3 linked regions of the Lonchura striata genome follow. The protein of the gene in region 2 interacts with the protein of the main gene of each other region in a biochemical or structural test. Links are inferred from orthologs where the notes say so. Each region holds a gene or a part of one and is shown on either strand. Other genes may lie near its edges.

Region 1 (7,618 bases), on a different chromosome or scaffold from region 2:
TTGGTTTCAAGTTGCACTCAGGAAAAACCGCAATTAGGAATCTTAAATCTAGCAGAAATAAGGCAAAATGCAGAGAGAGAACATAAAACCAACAAAATTCAGCGCAGAATGCAGACAAGTTTTTCACTGCAGGAGGAACACCTGCACAAGTAGTAAAATGCACCTCTTTGCAGTAGAGAACAGAACTTTTTGAAACACATGCTCTAATTCCTGACCTTTCACAAACAATTGCTGAGGTTCACAGCCATTAAATTGTTCTTTTTTCTATTCCGATTTGCAACAGCAATTCTGGCCAAAATGGATGGCAATTTAGATGGTCCCCGAGGAAATAAAAGTCAGCCACAGTTATTGGTGCTAAAAAACACATTTACCCAAGGACTGCTGAGAAATCTGTCCTGTTGATCATAAAAATTGCCTTTTTTGACCTTAAAATGTACTAATACACAAAAAAAACCTCAGCAAGGTCATTGAAAATTGATAAAAATCATTGAAAATTGGTCTAAAAATGATGGTGACTGTGACAACAAAAACCTTTGGTAAAAATAAAGAACATTCAAACAGCTAAACCAAGGAAAACACAGCTGCCTGAATTTTTTTTTAATTTCAAGCCAATTTACCCATGATTGTTGTGTAACTGTGTTAATAGCAAAGACAGGGGATTTGTGATAACCACATTTTATATATATAGCTATTAGATAACAATAAAACAGAGAAATGGGATAGTGTCTATTTTAAATAGCAAGTACCTAAGAAAATTTCTGAGTTTATTTCACTGAACAGGCAATTCCAGTGGCTCTGGATGTGAGGGAAGCAGAGGAAAGCAAATTTCGGTAAGAAATGGAGAAACCTCCCACCAATGTAAGGCCAAAGCTCAAGAGAATATTTCAGGTGTGGTTTCCTGTAAAATGTTTTCAGTGTTTTCCAGTTGACAGCCAAGGTCAGAGGACATGGAGTTTCAGAGAACACAACAAGAGTCTGAGGATTTCTAGGAGATACGTAAAACATGTTCACTCTCTTGTAAAAATGTTAAAACTTTAATAAAGGACAATAGGACCATAGAGCAACAGTTATTATGGCTGGGTGCATCTTGGCACTCAGTCAAGAGCACACCTGCTATTTTGGAAACACCCTTCATATACCATTTCTATTGCATCAGCCTGTTACATATATATACTGTTATGCATAGTAACAACTTTTCCTCAAACTAGTTTACAAATTCCAAGAACTGTTCAGCACAGCTCCTCCTCAGTTCTGCCTTTTTAGGGCATGCACATTCCTTGGTGGTGGTTTCAGTCCATTCTTACCAGCTCCAGTGATAAGAATGAACCTCCATAAGAATGGCTTTGGTCCATAACTGTTGGTACTTTTGGTCCAAAATATAGTCCATATTTTCTTCAGACGGTGAGTGCTGACAGTTGGCATTTCTGTACAATGTCCTCACCCTGTCTTCATGGGATGTGATCCCATCCAAGCAGGTACTTTAACACATACACACTTATATCAGCAATTTCACTAAGCTTAATTAACAACAGAAATAAAACCGGCATCTTTATAACAAAGTTACTTTAACATTACACATATAAAAATCCATTTTAGTACCTGCAAAAAGCCAATATTTTGTGTCCATAACATATTATTATAACATATTGTAATATAATTAACATATATGTCAATGATATATGTTATTATAATAAACTATGTGTTAATTATATTAACATATTACTATACTATGTGTACCAACACACAGAGATGTGCTGGGACTGATGTTTAGCAGCACAAGCTGCTCCCGGAGCGTTCCGTGGTCACCGGGGACACCTGGCGGGCCGGGAACCAGCCGGGAATTTCACCGCCCTTCCCACATTCCCAGCAAAGGCCACAGACAGAGAGGAACCACGACTGCAGGGACGCGTTTAGGCACTTTCCCACGACTAAAATGAAATTAAATTGCTGGATTTTCTCAGGGCTCCGCCGTGTGCCGGGGAAGTTGGAGCGGCACACGGCTCCAAGCGCTGCGGGACGCGGGCCCGCCCGACTGCTCCGAGGCGGGGGATGGGAACCGGGATGGGAACCGGGATGGGAACCGGGATGGGAACCGGGAGCGCACGGGAGGCGGCCCGGGCCGGGCCCGCCCTCCGTGCCCGCACGCCATCGCCCCGCGCCGCCCGCCCGTCACACGCTGCGCATCAGCGCCGTGCGCCGTGCCGGAAGGGCGGAGCGAGCGGCGCAGCCGGTAAGGGACGGCGGGCACGGGCGGCCGGGTCCCGCCGCCACCGCCACCGCCACCGCCACCGCACTGCCCCGGTACTGCCCCAGCCCCGGTACCGGCACCGCCCCAGCCCCGGTACTGCCCCAGCCCCGGCACTGCCCCAGCCCCGGTACCGCCACCGGCACTGCCCCAGCACTGCCCCGGTACCGCCCCAGCCCCAGCACTGCCCCGGTACCGCCCCAGCCCCAGCACTGCCCCAGCCCCGGTACCGCCACCAGCACTGCCCCAGTCCCAGCACTGCCCCGGTACCGCCACCGGCACTGCCCCAGCCCCGGTACCGCCACCGGCACTGCCCCGGCACTGTCCCAGCCCCGGTACCGCCACCAGCACTGCCCCAGTCCCAGCACTGCCCCGGTACCGCCCCAGCCCCAGCACTGCCCCGGTACCGCCCCAGCCCCAGCACTGCCCCAGCCCCGGTACCGCCACCAGCACTGCCCCAGTCCCAGCACTGCCCCGGTACCGCCACCGGCACTGCCCCGGTACTGCCCCAGCCCCAGCACTGCCCCGGCACCGCCCCAGCACTGCCCCGGTACCGCCACCGGCACTGCCCCGGTACTGCCCCAGCCCCAGCACTGCCCCGGTACCGCCCCCGGCACCGCCCCCGGCGGGGCTCGGCAGCGGCACCGTTCCCGCAGTGCCCCGGTACCGCCCAGCCCCAGCCCCGGCACCGTTCCCGCAGTGCCCCGGTACCGCCCAGCCCCAGCCGCGGCACCGTTCCCGCAGTGCCCCGGTACCGCCCAGCCCCAGCCCCGGCACCGTTCCCGCAGTGCCCCGGTACCGCCCAGCCCCAGCCGCGGCACCGTTCCCGCAGTGCCCCGGTACCGCCCAGCCCCAGCCCCGGCACCGTTCCCGCAGTGCCCCGGTACCGCCCAGCCCCAGCCCCGGCACCGTTCCCGCAGTGCCCCGGTACCGCCCAGCCCCAGCCGCGGCACCGTTCCCGCAGTGCCCCGGTACCGCCCAGCCCCAGCCCCGGCACCGTTCCCGCAGTGCCCCGGTACCGCCCAGCCCCAGCCCCGGCACCGTTCCCGCAGTGCCCCGGTACCGCCCAGCCCCAGCCGCGGCACCGTTCCCGCAGTGCCCCGGTACCGCCCAGCCCCAGCCCCGGCACCGTTCCCGCAGTGCCCCGGTACCGCCCAGCCCCAGCCCCGGCACCGTTCCTGCAGTGCCCCTGGCAGCCCCGCGGTCGGTGTGTCCGGGCCTCGGCCCGCTCCCCGCGGCAGCAGCCACGCGTAGACGGGGCCGGGCGGCCGGGGCCGTGTCAATGTTCCGGGATGGGGCCGTGTCCGTGTTCCGGGCCGGTGCCGGTGCTCTGTCGGTCCCGGATCGCGGTGCGGGGCCGGTGCCGTGCAGGTTCTCCGCCAGTGCCGCGTGGCTGTGCGGGGTTGGTCCCGTGTGCGTGCTCGGCTCCGGGCCCGGTGCCGTGTAGGTTGTCTGTCAGTCCGTGTCGCTGTGCGGGGCCGGTGCCGGTCCCGGTGCCGTGTGGCTGTGCTGTTTTCATGTCCATGTACGGGGACAGTGCCATGGACATGTTCGGGGCTGGTCCCGGTGCCGTGTCATTCCCGGGTCAGTGTTCGGTCCCGTTCCTGTGTCGGTATCGGTACCGTGTCAGTCCCGTTCCCGTGCCGGTCCCAGGGTCGTGTCACTCCCGTTCCCGTGTCGGTCCCGGTGCTGGTCCTGGTGCCGGTCCCGTTCCCGTTCCCGTGTCGGTCCCGTTCCTGTGCCGGTGCCGGTGTCGTGTCTGTCCCGGGGCCGTGTGGTTGTATCATTCCCGTGTCAGTGTTCGGTCCCGTTCCTGTGCCTGTCCCGGTGCCGTGTCTGTCCCGGTGCCGGTTGCTGTTCCTGTGTCAGTCCCGGTGCCGTGCCGGTGTTGGCCCCGGGGACATGTGGCTGTGTCATTCCCGTGTGGCTGTGCCGTTCCCGATTCCCGTTCCCGGTGCCGTTCCCTTGCCGTTCTCGGTTCCGGTTCCCGGTCCCGTTCCCTGTTCCCGGTCCCGTTCCCGGTTCCCGTTCCCGGTGCCGTTCCCAGTGCCGTTCCCGGTTCCCGTTCCCATTTTGCCGTTCCCGTTCCCTGTTCCCGGTCCCATTCCCGTGCCGTTCCCGCTCCCGGTTCCCGCTCCCGGTTCCCGCTCCCGGTTCCCGCTCCCGGTTCCCGTTCCCGGTGCCGTTCCCGTGCGGTTCCCGGTGCTGTTCCCAGTTCACGTTCCCGTGCGGTTCCCGGTGCCGTTCCCGTTCCCAGTTCCCGTTCCCTGTTCCCGTTCCCGTGCCGTTCCCGTTTCCCGTTCCCGTTCCCGTTCCCGTGCCGTTCCGTGCCCAGCGGGCGCTGTGTGTGTCCGCAGGGCCCCGCCGCCGCCGGGCCATGGCCGCTCCGCGCCGCGCCGCGCCGGCCCCGCCGGCCCCGCTGCAGTTCGCCCCGTTCAGCAGCGCGCTGGACGCCGGCTTCTGGCACGAGCTGACCCAGCGCAAGCTCACCCAGTACCGCCTGGACGAGACGCCCAAGCTCATCAAGGGCTACTACTACAACGGTGAGCACCGCCGCCCGGCCCGCTTCCGCTCCCGCCGCTCCTCCGGCGGCTCGCTGAAGCGCTACAAAGAATGGCTGGGAATTTTGTGTGTTTCGCTGTCATTTGCATCGACAAAGAAAGGGAAATAACCTGAATACTTTGGTTTAAAAAGAGCTTTGTTGCTGGTTTTTTGTCCAGGTGATCCTCCGGGTTTGCCAGCTCGATTGACACTGGAGTTCAGTGCCTTTGATATGTAAGTACAGGCTGTGGTTTGCTTTCATTTGTGTTTGGAGACACTTTCCTAGTATAAAATTGACATATTACTTAGAGAAACTCTACGTGAGAATAAACTCTACCTGAGAATAAACAAATTCATTTACCCTCTATGCGAGAGTAAATAAATAACCTTTTTGCCAAAGGCTCTTGTTGTTACAGTCACCATCATTCTTAGACCAATTTTCAATGATCTTGCTGAGGTTTTGTCATGTATTAGCACATTTTAAGTTCAGAAAAGGCAGTTTTCATGGATAAATAAATTAATTAATGTACTTCATAGCAGTGGAGAGATTGCTTTGAGTCACAAAAAAATTAACTCCTTCTGGCTGAATTTAAAATATTCTGAATTCTTAGATTCACTCACTTTCTACATGTATGTTTATATGAAATACCAGTTTTTTTCCCATTTCCTCAGCTTTTTGCATCAGGGAGGTTTTTTTAGTCATTTGCCTCTTCCCCTTATAGCTTAATTAGCATTTCAAATAGATTTTAGGTCCCTGGTTGTTACACTGTAATGTCCTCCAAAGTGTTTTATCTGTTATGACTGGAAAAATACCAAGTTTAGAGATCAGTGTTAAAGGAGGCAGTAAAATCCATCAGATCTGTAAATTAAGGAAATATTGTAGGATTTTAACCTAATATATCTCAAAAGTAAAATACTGATTGCAACAGCAGCTTCTCCAGCTGATGATATTACAAATTATAAAAGTTGCTCAATCTTTTGTCTGGCTTGGGTTTCCTTTGGGATGTGTTTTAAACATCAAATTTTAACTAACTCTTAGTGTGAGTACAAAACTGGCATCTAAGTTCAGCCTAAATTGGTTTTTCTCAATGCAAATCCCATTTGTCACAGGTAGCTTCTGTTTGAACAGAAATTCAAAGCTTCACTCCCTGGTTTAGTGTCACTCTGCTTGGGGAGAACACAGATGCCATGTGTATTTTTGAAGCCATGATGGAGATGTGTGTTTGCACATCTGGTTATTATTCCATCAATCCATCTTCATAAGGATTAAGTTATTTATTTAATGAATTTTAATTTTGTTGCTGTGCCTCATCATTTGGTTGAAGTTAACACCATAAGATAGATATTGCTGCTGCTGATGACTGTGTTAATTCCCAGAGTTTTCCTGCTTTTTTCCAGGAATGCTTCAATACCAGCACGTTGCTGTCCTGCTTTTGGAACATTGTATAACACCAACACTTTTGAGACTTTCAAATCCTGTGATAAAAAAGCACTTCTGGACAAGGAAGCAAAAGAGGTGAGATTTAAAATCAAATCATAGAGTGTTTCCAAATCCCTTCTACTCATTGAAGTGCTTTACACTCTGCCCCAAATTTGGAGCTATTCCAGTCTTGAGCAGCCTCAGGATTCAGTTTATTCTGGAAAGAAGAGTTTGGTGTTTGCTTTTTATTGTTCTCTACAAAAGAGTATAACCTAATTAATGATAACTAATTCTACATGGAGAACTCCATCACATTTTAAGCTCTGCAATGCTCTTGGAGCTGCCAGGGACTTAAATTCTGTAGAGCACATATTTAAAATTTGTCTTCGTACCCAAAAACCAGCAGTGCCTGGTTTAAACCCCAGATTACTACAATTTATATGTGTGACAAAGAGATGGGGAAACTTCACAGCAGCAATAATCATAAAGATAATGAGAGATAATAAAGCAAAAAAAAGATGGGTGAGAGGGGCTGGTCTGCCTGCATTGTCACCAGTGTATTTAATGTCATGGCCTGGGGAGAGGTGAAGGTCAAATTTAAGATGCTTTACTTTGACCTGTCCTTGATTCCTTTAATTAATTGCCTTGAGTAACAAAGTTTTCATGCATATCTTCACTCCAAACTAGGATTTTTTTTCGCATTCCTGTGGTCTCATAATTCCCTGTTGTCTCACCTTTAAAATCCTTTTAACACAGATAATTGTATGAATTAATTCAGTTTAAAAGAATGCTAAAGAATATTTATCTCCAGACTTTATATGTAGCTGGAAGAATTACAGATTTTTGGAGCTGTTCTCATGTTCTCTGGTGTTTCTTTGCCCTTTTTCTTCCTTCTTGTCCCCACAATCCTTGGCAGATCTGGGAATCAATCAAATCTGGAGCTGCTCTGGAGAACCCAATGCTGTTGAACAGGTTCCTGCTGCTGACATTTGCAGTGAGTACAGAAAATTTGTGTCTACTACTTGTAGTGGAAGTAGTGAAATAGTTTGTTTTTAGGAGTATTCATATATTTTGTATTAATAATAATGCTGCATTAATATATTTTTATATTATTTCCTACAAATGTATAAGATTACCTGATGGCCTTACAGATATCAGTAAAAATAGAGCAGCTGTTTCATGTTGAAGAAATTGAAAGCTTTACTACATGCTCCAGCTACCAAAGCCTGAAGGATTGTACACACATTGTCTCTTTAAATCTTAAATAAAAACATATACAGAGAATGAAGTCCTTAGCATTTTTATGATTTTCTAAAATCATTGTGAAGTAAAGACCCCTGTGGTTTCCATGGTTAAAATCATAAACCATTAATTTTAATTAGTATTGTATAATTTATTTTGATATATCTCCT
Region 2 (7,622 bases):
TGAAAATCAGAACCTTCCTAGGACTGTTTTTGTTTGTCTGTTGCTTTCTCTGAACAAGGATTTGGCCCAAGGGCATGTGCAGTTCACTCACAATTGGCTCTTGTGTTGTAGTGTTTTCCTGCCACTTTCTCTCCACTCCAGACAGAATTTTCATGGCTAAGGAAGTCCATTGATGGCACCCATGGGAAATCTCACACTGTCTCAGCTCAGTAGCCAGTTTAATCTCCTATTTTCCTTTAGTACTTTTCAATTGATGCCATTAAAGATTAAAAAAAACCAAAAACCACATGGTTACTCCAAAATGCTCAAGGGGTTATTTTGGTGGAGTTTTTCTTCAGGAAAAAAAAAAAAAAAAAAAAAAAAAAAAAGCAGGGCTGGAGAATGCTATGGTAACTGCAGCTGTGGAGATTTTGGTAAAAATGTTGGTGTTGAGTTGGGCACTTGTGGCTTTCAGAGCCCTGCGAAGGGTGGGTGTGGGAGGATTCAAACAGCCAAGGTACCCTGCATGTTTTCTCTGTGCATTTTCAGACCTGGACATGAATTTTTGGACTGTGTATAATCTGCTAGGTGGTGTCCATGACCCTGAAGGTCAGAAATGCCTGTTGGGGTCTGTAGCCCTGTAGCATCAGTGCTTTGCGTGTCCCAGCTGCCCCTGTGACTCAGGTATTGCTGTTCATGAGCTGCTTCTCCCTTTACACTAGGTCTGGTTTAAGCCATTCCATCAAAACAGGGAATAGGGTCTGGAATCCTGCTTGGTCTTTGGTGCAGCTCCTGATATGCAGCAGTTTACATAATGCCTTTGATCTGCAATAATTGTATGCTGCCTCCCAAAAAAATTAACCTCCAGCAAGCTGAAGTCTGGCTAATTGAACAGTGAGGCAAGGCAGAAGAAAAATGTGACCTCAGTGATCTCTCTCTGTTGTTTGTAACCCAGAGAAATATTTCCTTGGAGGTGGTGACCTGCTTATGGATTTTTGCTTTCTCAAGTAGGTGGCAGTGCTACTTCTCTGAACAGTGAAAAATCTGTAGTGTCCTGCATTCTTTTGGACACTTCCTTAATGATAGCTGTCCTACCAGTAGCTTGGTGTCACAGTAGCTTGGGACAGAGTATTGAGTGTTGGTTTTAAGTAAAACAAGCTGTAATAAATAACCTATTGCAAAACAAAAGATCATGGCCCTTTTTTATTGTGTTGAGATCATAAAACTTGCAGTGAAATGACTGAACTCATGCTATGTGCTGGTTGGTTGGAGGATTGAGGGTTGGTTAGGGGATTTTTCTCAGGATTGAGAGCAGCCTGGCATGAAATATACTTGGGAATTTGAATGAAAGGCTCTTAAGCTGGGTTGGGAGTCAAGGAGTTTGTCAGATCGATCTGGGCAGGGCCTTACTTAGGCCATGTAGTGCCACCTTTACACCAGCACCCAAAATTAATTCAGATTTATTTTTTAAAACTGGCAAGAGGTGAAGCAAGCTGAAGAACAAAAACTATCATTTACTTACTATGGAACAAAGTAATTAACTAAATAGTAACTAAACTAATAAACTAAACTCAAGTTTATTTGGATTAGGACCATTAGAGAGTCACAGAGCTGTCAGCAATTTCCATGTATGAAAGTCAGGGGAGGGTGTCATTTTCCTACATTACCACAAACGGTCAAAAAGAAAGATGGAGCTCAGTTTCTGGTCCTGTGCTTCGTGAGTCTGGGCCTGGTTATTTGTATGGTAAAACTACTGCCAGACTGAGGAAGAGAGAAAAATTAGCATTATGGTTCTAGTCCTTTTTCCTAGCCAGGATCACAGGAAGCTTGAGCAGCCTATGCCATCTGCATCTTGGAGCTGCTCTGTGCTGGGGCTGGCCTGGTTTGCTGTCTTGGAAAAGTCAGTTTTGGTTTTGGTGGATCCCTGTCGAAGGCTGAGGAAACATCTGCTGTTGGGAAAACAAACCCTGATGGATTAACAAGGTAATGAAAGGGAGTTTGGGGCATGGCTCTGGGCTGGGAAGGGCAGCATGTGAGACCCAAGGATGTGCTACCTCTGTGCTGAGATAAGGCTCTGACAAGAGTGGAGGTAACTGTAAAAGCTGAGCTTGTGAACACCTTCTGTGGATTTGTGTTGGCTCCAGAACCCTCCCAAGTAACTCCTTCCCTGCCTAAGGTGGCTGACAGTGTCCTTCACATACAGGACACAGATGTGTCTGCCCCATCCCTGGAAGTGTCCAAGGCCAGGTTGGACAGGGCTTGGAGCAACCTGGGATAATGGAAGGTATGGGCAGGGGTGGGACTGGATGAGACTTAAGGCCCCTTCCAACCTAAACCAGTCTGTGATTTGTTTCATCTTGTCTTAGTTACTTCTCTAGAGGACAAAGGCAAAGATCTCACACCAAGAGAGGCTGGGCTAAAGTGAGCAGAGCTACAGCAGCTCCTGGGACCCACCAGCTGCAAGAGAAGCAGAAGCAGCTGGGGGTGCAGGGGCAGCAGCTTGGACACTGCCTTGGCCAGCAGGAGCCCGGGCATCAACACAATTCTGTTGGCAAAAATACACTTCCTTTACCAGGATTACAGGATTCCTCCAGGGAGATTTCCCTCACTGCTGTGGTTTCACAAGATCCAGGAGTGCTCGTTTTTAGTGGTGCTGCACTGTGGAATGCTGGCATGCGGGAAGATCCTTGTCGATTCCAGGTCATGTCAGGACAGCTCGCTGGTGCCTTAAACCTTTGACTGATCTGGGGAGAAGGGGGTGGGATCTCAAATGCACCTCCTTAAATAAGGAGTTTGGCCAGGGACATCAGTAAAACCAGGCAAGAGGGGCATTAATGTGTGCTGAATTGTTCAGGAAGCTGAGGGCTGAAGGAATAAGTGTATAAATTAAATCAAACTATTTGATCCATATCCCATTTCTGGAGGTACACTAACATGCTGAGAAGCTCCGGAGGTCCTATGAAATGGAGTTTTTTCTCCCTTTCCAGGTTTCTGAATAATTTTCTGTGGAATTATGGCCACAGTCCTGCAGTGAGGTCTGCATGGATAAAACCAGGGGCCACATCATGAAATTGGAAAGACTTTCACATTCCTCTCATTGAAAAGAGGTTCACACTTTATAGCAACAGTAACAAGCCCCATTGCTGAGGATGAAGTCTGTAAAGGTCATCACTTGCCATGTCTGATTCAACATTCCTGCTTTCCCTTCAGTATTTTTAACAGGACCTATATCAGAGATTAATATCTTTACGTGTATCTTAATTATGGAAGTGAATCTGAAGAGTTTATACTTCCTTACCAGTATGTGCTTGTTTAACTACTGCTTGGTCAAGGAAAATCCATTATATTGAGCATGTAAGTGTTTTCTTTCTTGGGTAAACTCAGCAAGGAAACAAGAATTTCTTCAATTCTCATTAAACACATATTTGTTTAAATTGGTGACGCAATAATCGGAGCAGTTCTTTCAAAACTGCATTTTTCATGTATTTTTTTTTACCAAGGTTGTACTTAATCCTTTAACATTTTGTGTTTGCTCCTGTTTTGTGCCAATTCACTGTAGCAATGAGACATTGCTCCACACGATACAGCTCCTGTTGTGGCGTGCAGTGAGGAGGGATATTAGACCTGGTGATACACTGACGCTCTGTTTGCAGTTGTTTTTGATTCATTTATCAGCTCCAGAAATAGCTGCCCTATTTGTAGTCATGCTGCAGGCTTTAACATATTCAGCATAGCCATGGCTGTGAATGCAGGAGGGAAAACAACGGGCTCGTTAGCAGAGAGATGATTGGGGTAGATGGGAATCACAAATGTCAGAGTATCTGTGAGAAAGTAGTTTACATCCAGGTTTGTTGGCTGGAATCTGGTCTGAGCTGTTGTGGCTTCATCCCCACACAATCCTTCCTTCTCCACCCTTCTCACAACAGCCACATTTGCTGCCCAAAGCTGGTGGTGACACTCGGAAGATGTTTTAGTGAAGATGTCCAGAAGATGCCACCGCAGGCCAGAGTCACGGACACCTCTGTCTGTGGAGCAGCTCTGGAAATCCCAGCCCAGGTGTCCTTCTGCTGCCTTAAGCAAGGCCCTCAGGTCCTCTGCTCCATCAGGACTGGAAAAAAAGCTTGTGTTTGGGGTCACCTCTGAATAAAGCACCATGTCCCATCGGGAAATGGGGATGCTCTGCCATGGCTCGTGTCACGGCCATCCTCGTGTCACCAGCTGCTCTCTCCCATGTTGCGGCTTGTAAAAAAGAAAGGGGCAGATAGTAATAGGACAAGAGGGAATAGTTTTAGACAAAAGAAGTGAGATTTCGATTGGTATTGGGAAGGAATTTTTCCCTGTGATGATGCTGAGGTCCTGGCACAGGGTGCCCAGGGAAGCTGTGACTGTCCCATCCTTGGCAGTGCCCAAGGCCAGGCGGGACAGGGCTGGGAGCAGCCTGGGACAGTGGAGGGTGTCCCTGCCATGGCAGGGGCGGCACGGGCTGGGCTGTAGGGCCCGTTCCAGCCCAACCCCGGAGCGGCCCCGCGCCCCCCGCGCCCCCCGCGCCCCGCGCCCCCCGCGCCCCCCGCGCCCCGCGCCCCGCGGTCCCGGGGCGGGCGGGCTCAGGCCCCGCCCCCTGAGGGCGGTGCGCGGTGACGTCACCGCCGCTCCGCCGCAGCCCCAGCGCAGACGGAGCCGCCCGGTGCCGGAGCCGCCCGGTGCCGCCGCAATGCCCTCGGACCGGCCCTTCAAGCAGCGCCGCACCTTCGGTGAGCCGGGACCGGCCGGGAGCGGCCGCGCGGGAGGGAGGGACGGGCGGGCGGATGTGCCCTGCGCCGCCCCCGCCGTGCTGCCCGGCGGGGCGGCCCCGCCCGGGCCGGGGCTCGGCCGCCGCGGGTCCCGCCGGGGCGGCCGCGGGAGCAGCGGGGCCCGGCCGGGGGCGGCGGTGCCGCAGCCGCCGCGCGGTGATGTCATCCCGCGCCGCGCCCGGCCGAGCGCAGCGCTGTCCCCGGGCCGTCCCCGCTTCTCCCGGGGACCGGGGTCACCGGGGCGCGGCGGCGGCCGCAAAGGGCCGTGGAACGCCCGGGGGGACGGTGATGGCCACGTGTCCCTTTCGACTGTCAGAACACAAAGACCTCCCCAAAAATCGCCTTCCGCGCTCCCCATCTGGTCGGCGTTGGGGCGGTTGTTGTTCCAGGATGTCGCACGCCCTCTGTGATGGTTGTGAGACACAGAGTCAGTGCTCGCATCCTCCCCGCCTCTTTGTCAGAGGTCCGTGGTGGGGAGGCTCAAAAGGTGAGGAGGTGACTGTAGAAAGTCCCGGATTTCTATCTCCAGACCCGACAGCGGAATCCGAGGAAACACCAACTGCTGTTTTCCCTTGACCTTTGCCGGCTGGCGCAGGGAGAGGTGTGTGCTTCTGGCAGGTTAAATTTCTGGGGAGGGGGTAGCAGTTGAACTTTACTCGCTGTATAATGCTGAAATCGGTACTTTTATGCCATAAAAAACCCTCATATTGTGCCAGAGACTGTCCAAACGCAGGTGAGGGCGTTTCCTACATGAGTTTTAAAATTGGAGTTTTTGCCTGCTGAAAGCTGCTGATCCAGCCCCTTCTGCTCTCTTGGAAACTGTAAATATTTGGTATTATATTGGCACAACCCTTCTGGCCTTGAATGCTTACCCAGTCCTCCCCTGCCACAGGACCGAGCCAAGGGAACATGCACAAACAAGAACCAGCTGAAGCCTGGGAGCTTGGGATCCTTGCTGGGAACCTGCTGTGTGCTCCTAAGCTACGTATTAAAACCAGTGAAGTCCTAAATCGGCCCCTTAGTAACTACCTACTGTTAAATTGGTGAGAATCAGCTTATTATGGTTAGGAGTAGACTGGTTTGCCTTTGTGGATTGCTCAGACTTTCTTTGAGCCAGAGGGAAAACAAAATCTGAGGCTCAGAGTAGTTGAAAGAAAGCAGGATTAAAATAGCCCGGGAGGGACAGAGGGGGTGAGGGAGTTTGGTGCCGGCAACTGCAAGTGCTCCTTGTTTCTCCGTACTTTCCTCTGCCCTTTTGCTCTCTCAGCTGACTGGGCTGCAGAGCTGAGCCAGGAGGAGAGAAGGAGGAGGACGCCTGGCAGCCCCTGCAGTTGCTTTGGGTCAGGGCTGGAATTACTCTGTTGGAGAAAGTAAATATGGCTTGTTTTTGTCTTTGAATCATTACACAACAGGAGCAGGAAGTGATTGTTTACAATGCAGTTGGAGAGGGCTAGTGGAAAACATCTCCAGTGATTCCATACCCTCAGAATGGCTTAATTTTTAAGGCTTCAAAACTTTACAGAAATGGAACGGTTCCAAAAAAGCAGTGAAAAGGCAGAGTCAGGGCTATGGCTGTTTACAAAAGGCACACAGGCTCCAGTTTCATGGCAAGTGGCTGCCTTAGGTCTTGGGCTGCTGCTTCTCAGTGAAGATTCTCGTTTCCCCAAAGCTTGTGTTCCCCCCTTCTTGTATTTTTTGAATTTTTCTGTGAATTTCTTAGGTTTGTTCAACTGCTTGGTCTTGGGTCTCTCCTGAGTAAAATTTCCTGATTTCTCCTCATCATTTCTAAGGACTTGAGAAGGGGACTGACTGTGAAACAACAGGGGTTTGATCCAAGGTGTGTGGAGGGCACGGAGCAGTGACTCCTCCCGTGATCTCAGGTGCTGTCCCTGGTGGGCAGGTGAGCTCTGTGAGCTGGTCCTTGGCAGCAGAACGTCCTTGCTGTGTGTGCAGGGGGTAAGATGTGGCAGCACCCTCTGCATCCATGTGCTGAACCCAGAGGCTGAGGCATGTTCAGATCTGTTGCAGGAGTCCAAAACAATTCCCAGAACAAAGCTGTGGTCTGTGTCAGAGGAACAGGCTGTCCTGGCAGTCGTGAGAGTGTGCAGCAGCCTGATGACACCATTGCACTTCCCGAAAGGAACACGGGTCCTTGGGAGCATTGTCCCACTGCTCCTGAAGTGAGGTTTGCATTGGGCTGGCAGCAGCTGCCAGCTGTGTTTTCAGTGCAGCACAAAATCAGTGTGGTGATGGACATGGGCCTGGATCCTGGAGCAGCCAGGTGACCCAGAGCACCTTGGTCCCGTGCCCCCGTGTCCGGCAGGAACAGAGGCAGGAACACACCTGCATGTGCCTTGTGGCTCAACTGGAGTCCCTGATTTGGTGACAAACACAGAGGTTTGACCTCAGCCTCTGTGGACAGAGTGTTCCCATCCCAGGTTCCATCCTCTTGGAGATCTGCCTTTGTTTGTGGGAAGCCACTCTCTCTTCAGAGGAAACGCAGTGGTGGGTGTGGAGCAAATCCCCTGTTGGCTCTGGGGATCGGCGTCCCTGGGGACTCATCCAGCACAAGCCAGCTGTGCTTGTACCCACTGAGAGACCAGTAGTGGCTGAATTGTCTGCCTCACACACCGTTCTGTGCTTATCACAACAGTTCTGCTCATTAGTGGCTTGGAAAAACATCTGGATATTGATGTGAGATTGGTCTGTGAGCCCTCGCTGGTCCTTGGCTGGTTCTTGGGTGTCTGTGCTCTGGCAGTTGTGCTTTGAGAGCTGGGATTCCTTGAGAGGAGGATGCTGCTCCAAATTGCTGCTTAGCTGCCTGTGTCTTGGATTAATTACTGAGGACATTCT
Region 3 (7,122 bases), on a different chromosome or scaffold from region 2:
AGCACTTTTTACTCAAAAAAGGTACCTTTAATAGGAGGAAAAAAGGTCAACAGGGCAGTCCATTTTAAGTCTCATTGCTTCAGAAGCTACAAGGATGAAGTTGAAGTGTTTTCCAGGAGCCCAAAGCTGCACCAGGTCCACATCCAAGTTAAAAAGCCCTTCTAGAATGTGAAGTCACTGTATACAAGTCCATCATGACAGCAGTAGCAGCAGAAGCTCATACTACTCCCCACACTTCCTCAAAGGCAGTAGTAATTTTAGCACATGTCAGGGCAGCAGAAAGGGGATAGTTGCTGATGGAGACCATCTTTTCTGTATAGTCAACACTGACCTGGAGAAGAGGGAGGAGAAATAGAAAAAAAAAAAAAAAAAAAGTTGCAAAAAGTTTTCACTGAGCCTCATCTCCATTAGTACAAGAAAGACAAGGAGCCACTGGAGAGGGTCCAGCAAAGGCTAGACAGATTATTCAGACATGGAACCATCTCTTATGAGAAGAGACTGCAGGGTCTGCTTTGTGTAGGGAAGGGAAGACTGAGAGGGGATCCCATTAATGCACATAAATATCTCAAGTGTGGGTGCCAAGAGATGGTGCCAGACTCTTTCCTCCAGTGCCCAGCAACAAGGCAAGGAGCAATGGCCATAAACTAAAACACAAGGAAGTTTCACCAAAAAAGAAGGAAGAACTTCTTTATTATGAGGGTGGCAGAGAACTGAACATGCTGCCCAGGGAGGTTGTGGAGTCTCCCTCTCTGGAGACGTTCAAAATCTACCTGGACATGTTTCTGTGTCACCTGCTCCAGGTGACCCTGCCTTGGCAGGGAGTTGGATTGGATGATCTACAGAGATCTCTTCCAACCCTAAGACCTGCAGAGGCACAGTATTTCCTCAGCAGGGAAACTGCCAGCCTCTGCTAATGCACTCCCCTTGGGAGGGAGAACAGTCCCAAATGTAGCAGTTTTGAGCCTTTTTTTGACAAGCATATGAGGGGAGGGGGGGAATGGGGATGGGGAAACCAAGCCAAGAAAAGGGCAGATAAAACCTCCATACTGAACACAAGAAACCTTTCCACAACCCCAGATAAGGGATGCACACACTTACTGAGCCGTGGGCAAAAGCTCCCACCACAATGACAACTGGCTCTGCTGCAGGAACCAGCTCCCGCAGATCTGACACCTGTGACACTGCAAAAGAGGTGCCAATCTTCATACAGCCCACGGGCAAATGGTCAGTGACTGGGTTTTTTATCACCTACAGAAAGCAGAAAATGAATAGAGGTTAGAGGTAACAGACCCTCTTGACACATAGCTAGAGCCATTGTTTGCTAAAATCAACAGACAAACAAAAAATCCATCAGCTGTTTGCAGGCTGCATTCAGGACTGGTGCATCTCGAGCAACCCATCCTCATTGTCCTTGGTGTTTACAAAATACCACGGTGGTGTCATTCCACAACCAACACTGTCATTCCACAATTCAACATCACAGACTGCCCTCACCCAAAAAATCAAATGCCCTTGAGGTACACATCCTGTTTCCCTATCCCCCCCCGACTACCCACCAAGTACAGCCGGGTCCTTGAGCAAAAACAATCCCAGATGGGTGGAGATATGCCCAAGGTACAGGTGATGTTCAGGTAGATGAGTCTTAGCTGTGGGGAGCAGTAGAACGAGTAGCAGAGCTCCCCATGACCAGCAGTGCAATTCCTGAATAATCCAAAATTGAAAAAGTCCACAAGACCTTCTCCCAAGTGACAGTAGGCAATATAGAATAGCCAGGGGAAGCTGAGGCACAGCACTGCTCCCAGGAAGAGCATCCCAAACACCACCTTCTCCTGCAAAGAAGGCATGAAGTACTCATTGGGCAGCAGGGTCAGGATCCCCAGGCACAGGGACAGAACAAACCCCAGCAGGTGTGTCCAGATGTTGCCAGTCTCAGTGTGTACCTGGAAGATGCTCTTGAAACAGGCACAGAGGGATGGCAAGGAGGACTTGTAGTCCCCTATAGGCAATTCTGTGTCATCTTGGCTGGCAAGCAGGCAGCTGCTGGGATTTAAAACCACTCTCCTTCTTTGGGGAATCCCGATTTTCCAGAAGAAACTTACAAAACACGTTTAAGTCCTGGTTAGTTCTTTGCTTCTGGGAGTCTTACTGACCTGCCTGCTGACCTGTGTCATTGGGCAGGGGCACTGGCTAGGGCTGAGCCTTCTCTGCCAAGATGCCATTACCATCACCTTCCTCAGGCTGCTGCTTTTCTGGCCTTTTCCAGCCACAGGGGTGGTTCTTCATCGGAGGAATCTGATATCCGATAAATCTTTTGTCCATGTGGTTTATCCAGTCTCCCCCTCCGTGACTGCAGAAGCCATTCAAGTTAATTACATCTTCATTTCCACCTCTCTCTGCCTTTTTGAAAGCTGTACCCAGAAAGTGTCAATGCCCATGCGTGGCAGTCAGGCTCACATGAGGAACAGATCCCTCAGCTCCAAAGACTGGTGTGTTTGGGGTTTCCTTCCTGCAGCAGCAGCTCCTAGCCAGGTTAGCATGTGGGGCAGCTCCCCTGAAACCAGGGCCACCAGCGAGGATAGGACGGGATAGATCAGAAACCACACCCACAATCAGGACTCGCAACCAAAAAAACACCTTCTCCCCATCGAGAAAAAATCCCTCCTACATTCCATTACAATGTTGCAATATTTGCTGTGAACAGTTACAAAATATTTACCTTCAGCAGTTTCTGAGGCCCATCAGCTGCTCTAACACTGAGCTTATGTAACAGCTGAACTGGCAAAGAGAAAACAAAACAAGAAAAATCACTTAAGCTGTGTGGCGATTTGTTGGATGAATCCCATGCTTTGCCTAACCTGAGGTACACCAAAAGTCCACCTTTAGAGTTCCTATCACAGTCTGAAAGAATTTATTTTGCTGACAGCACAGCCTCCTGCAGGCACTCTCCACTGTGCTAAGGAGCACACAGCTGGGGTATGCATCCTGGAACATCCCAGAAAGATGCTCTCGCTTCTGTGCTCTTTTCTCACTTTCACATCGTAAGGTCGGTGCTAGTTTTTCACTTTACCCGAAATTCCCCCAGTCCTGACTACCTCCCTGCATTATTCTGTAGCTGGTGTAGTTTGAATTGCTTACCCATTAGCCCACAGAATCGATCAAAAGTTCTTGGGATTCTGGTCTGGGGATTGACTTCAATGAGAACATTTTTCTTGGTGTGGATATAAACCTGTAGGAGCCCAGCCCGATTCAGGGGGCTGTCCATGAGCATCAGGAGACTCTGAAAGTGAAAAGCACACGATAGTGGAAATAGAAAGGCATAAGAGAGAAAATTTTAGGGAAAATTGATGCTTAGCCCCCGCAAATGCAGACGGGAGCGATGTCGAGGCTGAAAGCTCATCTCATTACGGGACGGGACACTGTAATGCTAAGAAATCAAGCCCACACCCAAACTCAGACTCAGCTTAAAGCCCACCAGCACAGCGGGGGAGCCCAAACTCGGCCCCGGGCTCCAGGGGCACCGGCGGACGCCCGGACCCGAGGGGCGATGGCCCCGAGCCGCCCCGCCGGGCCCAGCGGGTACCTGGTGCGTGATGTCAGGCCGCACCTCCCCGGGGTCCCGGCCATTCCGCAGCAGCAGCGCCTTGTGCTTGTCGCAGTTCAGCAGCTCGAACGTCTTCCCCACCTACGGCCAAAGCACGGACGGGTGAGCGGCGAGCGAGACCATCCCGGGCACGCCCGGACCCGCCCCGATCTCCCGCCGCCCACACCTTCACGGTCTCCAGGCTCGCCCCCTCCAGCACGACGAGGAGCCGGCGCTGGCCGCGGAGCCGCTTGGCGCCCGGCGAGCGCCCTTCATCCTCCTCCTCTTCCTCCGGCGGCGCGGCCCCACGTGCCCGCCTGGGCGCCGCCATTTTGTCACGCGGCCCCGCCGGCCCCGCCCCGGCCCCGCCCTTCCCGCCGCGGCCACCCAAGATGGCGCCGGGGCGCGCCCTCGATCTGGCTCCGGCCGGACCCGCTTCCGGAGCGCCTCGGCCGCCGCGCCGGAAGGCGAGTGCTGGGGGCGGGAAGGGGCAGCGTGGGGAGCTCCCGGCGCCGCGGTTTCCCGCCGGAGCGGCACGGCGGTCGCTCCTTCCGGTGTCCTTCCCGGCGGGGGCGGCGGCGGGGCGGCCATGGCGCAGAACCTGAAGGACCTGGCGGGGCGGCTGCCGACCGGGCCCCGCGGCGTCGGCACCGCGCTCAAGCTGCTGCTGGGCGCCGGCGCCCTGGCCTACGGCGTGCGAGAGTCCGTCTTCATTGGTGAGTGGGGTCCCCCCCAGCCCCTCGGAGCCTTCGCGGCCGCTGTCCACGCTGACCAAAGCCTCGCTCTCTCCCCGCAGTGGAGGGCGGCCAGCGCGCCATTTTCTTCAACCGCATCGGCGGCGTGCAGCAGGACACCATCCTGGCCGAGGGGCTGCACTTCAGGTAGGGCCCGGCCCCCCCGGCCCCCCGGCCCGGCGGGGCCCTCGCCCCTAACGCGGCTCCGCTCCCGCAGGATCCCCTGGTTCCAGTACCCCATCATCTACGACATCCGAGCGCGGCCGCGGAAAATCTCCTCCCCCACTGGTTCCAAAGGTGAGACGGAGGGGCCACGGGGTGGGGAGCACAGGACAGGAGCTCCGCCATAGTGGAGGCGCTTTTCAGACAATTACGGAATGTTAAGGGCTTGGAATAGACCTTAAAAATCGTTCAGTCACAATTTCCTGCCGTGGATAGTGACGCCTTTCACCAGCCCAGGCTGCTCAAAGCCCCATCCCACCTGGTCACGAGCACCTCCAGGGCTGAGGCATCCGCAGCTTCCCTGGACAGCTTGTGTCACCCCGCCCTCACCGTAAAGGATTTCTTCCCAATTCCCAGCCCAAGTGTCCCTCTCCCAGTCGGTGCTGCCTGCTCCTTGTCCCGTTGCTGCCGGGGAGGGGCTGTGCAGCCGCCCCGCGGCCCTGAGCGCTGCTGTCCCCGCAGACCTGCAGATGGTGAACATCTCGCTGCGGGTGCTGACGCGGCCCAACGCGGCCGAGCTGCCCAGCATGTACCAGCGCCTGGGGCTGGACTACGAGGAGCGTGTGCTGCCCTCCATCGTCAACGAGGTGCTCAAGAGCGTCGTGGCCAAGTTCAACGCCTCGCAGCTCATCACACAGAGGGCCCAGGTGAGCCCTGCCGCGGCAGCCTTGACGGGGGAGCCATGTGGCAGGTGCAGGAAGAGTGGCTGTGTTCAGCTGGGGGTACTGCATCCACGTGGGAAGCGTGTCCCACGTACAGCTTGATTCCAGTGCAGGTACAAATGCTGTGTCAGCAGCTTTAGAGGAGGGAAGTGGGTCTGTTGGTGCACAGAGTGCAAAACTGCACCAGAATGTAACACTAAGGGTGAGCTGGTTTGCTTCACGGTCCACAGGTGTCTGTGGAACTGGCTTTAAAAATACAGACCTTGGAATGACTGTCAGAGCAAATGAAACGGTTTTGAACAATTTGAGAAACAGTGGGAATGAGCAGTTAACAGAGCACTAACCTGTCAGTGGTGGATGCTTCAGAAGAGTCATGTATAACTTCTGTTTGCAGTCACAGAGTGGGCCAGGCTGGAAGGACCACAGTGGGTCATCTGCTCCAGCCTCCCAGCTCAAGCCAGGTCATCCCAGAGCACATGGCACAGGGTTCCATTCAGATGGTTCTTGAATGTCTGTAGTGAGGGAGACTCCACAAGCTCTTTGGGCTGCCTGTTACAGTGCCCTGTCACCTGCACAGTAAGAAGTTATTCCTCCTATCCAGGTGGAGCTTCCTGTGTTCTGGTTTCTGCCCATTGCCTCTTGTCCTGTTGTTTGACATCTCTGAGAAGAGCCTGGCTCAGTTGTCTTGGCACCCTCTCTGCAGGCAATGATTAGAAAAAGCTTAGAGTGGGAGAGTGTCCTCTGGGGGAGTGTTGCAAAATATTAGAATTACCTAGCTTAAAAATGCCTGTTTGTGGAAGCTTGTATTGTAATAGTTTGATTGCCAGGGATTCTGAGAGCTCTCATCCCCTACAGCAGCTGGCGCAGAGAGGAGGTGCTGGTCTTGTTGTAAAAGGTTTTAGAGGATGTCCTGCAGGACCAGGAGGGTGTTGAAGAGGAAAAGCTGTTGGATGAAATACAAAGCATCTTTCAGCTATCAGAGACTGTATCTCTGATCTGTGTCAAAAGAACCAAAGAGTGAAGCTGGGTGTCCTGGTTTTGTTATAAGAAGTGACCTGTATCCCCCTGGTGAGGGGCTTCAGCTTTTTGTGCTCATCCACATGGAGTGCACTGGAGGGATTTGTTAGTCTTCATGTAGAAAGAGAGTGTGTGGAGAGGATGAGACAGCAAAGAATATCTGTGTGAGGGTTTCAGCTGTGCTGGAAGCAAAGGCTGTTAAGCATCTGTGATCTCAGATAAGAATCATTGTTTAATCTCAGAAATTTTGGAACAAACTGAATTGCATTTATCTTGTCATGTATCCATCTAGTGCTTGTTATTCTAAAGTGATATGGTATTGAACGGATTGATAGAAAAAAATTAAGTGACTTAATGTAGTTGTGCACTGACAGTTCACACAGGAAAGTTTTCTGTCACTATTTAGAGTTCTGCTCAGAAACAGCTGCACTAAAAGTAAAAGCAAATGGTCAATTGGCCAAGCATGTGATATTGTAGCAATAGTTTCTGTTTAAGTCAATATTTGGTGCAGGACTTGTCAGGCTGCCTGAAAGAGGTGCTGGGAAGTAAGTGTAGAATAAATCAAAGTATCAAACAGCAACACCCACCCAAAGCAGCCGAAAAAAGTGGAGTTGCTACACTAGACAAGTAGCTACTGTAATTAAGAGATCTGATATAGGTTAAAAAAACTATGTGGTCATTTCTTTTTTTGTGTTGGAGTACAGTTATGAAAGCACAGCCTGCAAACAGTGGCAAATCCAGGTGGATAAAGAAATGCTTATTGCCAGAACTGTGGGAGCTATGGAACTGGATGTGAAAGCAAAAGACACTTTCAAGGTTTTTTACTTTCACAGTGTTACTTGCGTAGAACAGTTTAGTAGTAACTGTAGATGAGCTGTAATAGAGTTTTGAAAATGCTTTTTTTGGC

The links.
Region 1: the proteins of MAP1LC3A (region 2) and ATG7 form a complex in vitro, tested with the Homo sapiens proteins (2 studies listed by BioGRID, with this or other methods). The link is inferred for Lonchura striata from reciprocal best matches to the Homo sapiens genes MAP1LC3A and ATG7.
Region 3: the proteins of MAP1LC3A (region 2) and PHB2 form a complex in vitro, tested with the Homo sapiens proteins (2 studies listed by BioGRID). The link is inferred for Lonchura striata from reciprocal best matches to the Homo sapiens genes MAP1LC3A and PHB2.

Annotation. Positions count from the first base shown.
Region 1 is NC_134614.1:5,343,562-5,351,179, reverse strand, and holds the start of ATG7 (ubiquitin-like modifier-activating enzyme ATG7), read left to right. Parts: upstream 1-4,613; 5' UTR 4,614-4,622; coding exon 4,623-4,788; intron 4,789-4,965; coding exon 4,966-5,020; intron 5,021-6,184; coding exon 6,185-6,302; intron 6,303-7,122; coding exon 7,123-7,200; intron 7,201-7,618. UniProt on the Homo sapiens protein: E1-like activating enzyme involved in the 2 ubiquitin-like systems required for cytoplasm to vacuole transport (Cvt) and autophagy.
Region 2 is NC_134619.1:13,501,308-13,508,929, reverse strand, and holds the start of MAP1LC3A (microtubule-associated protein 1 light chain 3 alpha), read left to right. Parts: upstream 1-4,605; 5' UTR 4,606-4,690; coding exon 4,691-4,730; intron 4,731-7,622. UniProt on the Homo sapiens protein: Ubiquitin-like modifier involved in formation of autophagosomal vacuoles (autophagosomes). While LC3s are involved in elongation of the phagophore membrane, the GABARAP/GATE-16 subfamily is essential for a later stage in autophagosome maturation.
Region 3 is NC_134604.1:29,818,471-29,825,592, reverse strand, and holds the start of PHB2 (prohibitin-2), read left to right. Parts: upstream 1-4,117; 5' UTR 4,118-4,169; coding exon 4,170-4,296; intron 4,297-4,376; coding exon 4,377-4,461; intron 4,462-4,531; coding exon 4,532-4,611; intron 4,612-4,998; coding exon 4,999-5,183; intron 5,184-7,122. Other genes in the region: EMG1 (ribosomal RNA small subunit methyltransferase NEP1), read right to left, coding at 218-331, 1,099-1,248, 2,717-2,775, 3,136-3,277, 3,581-3,682, 3,768-3,911.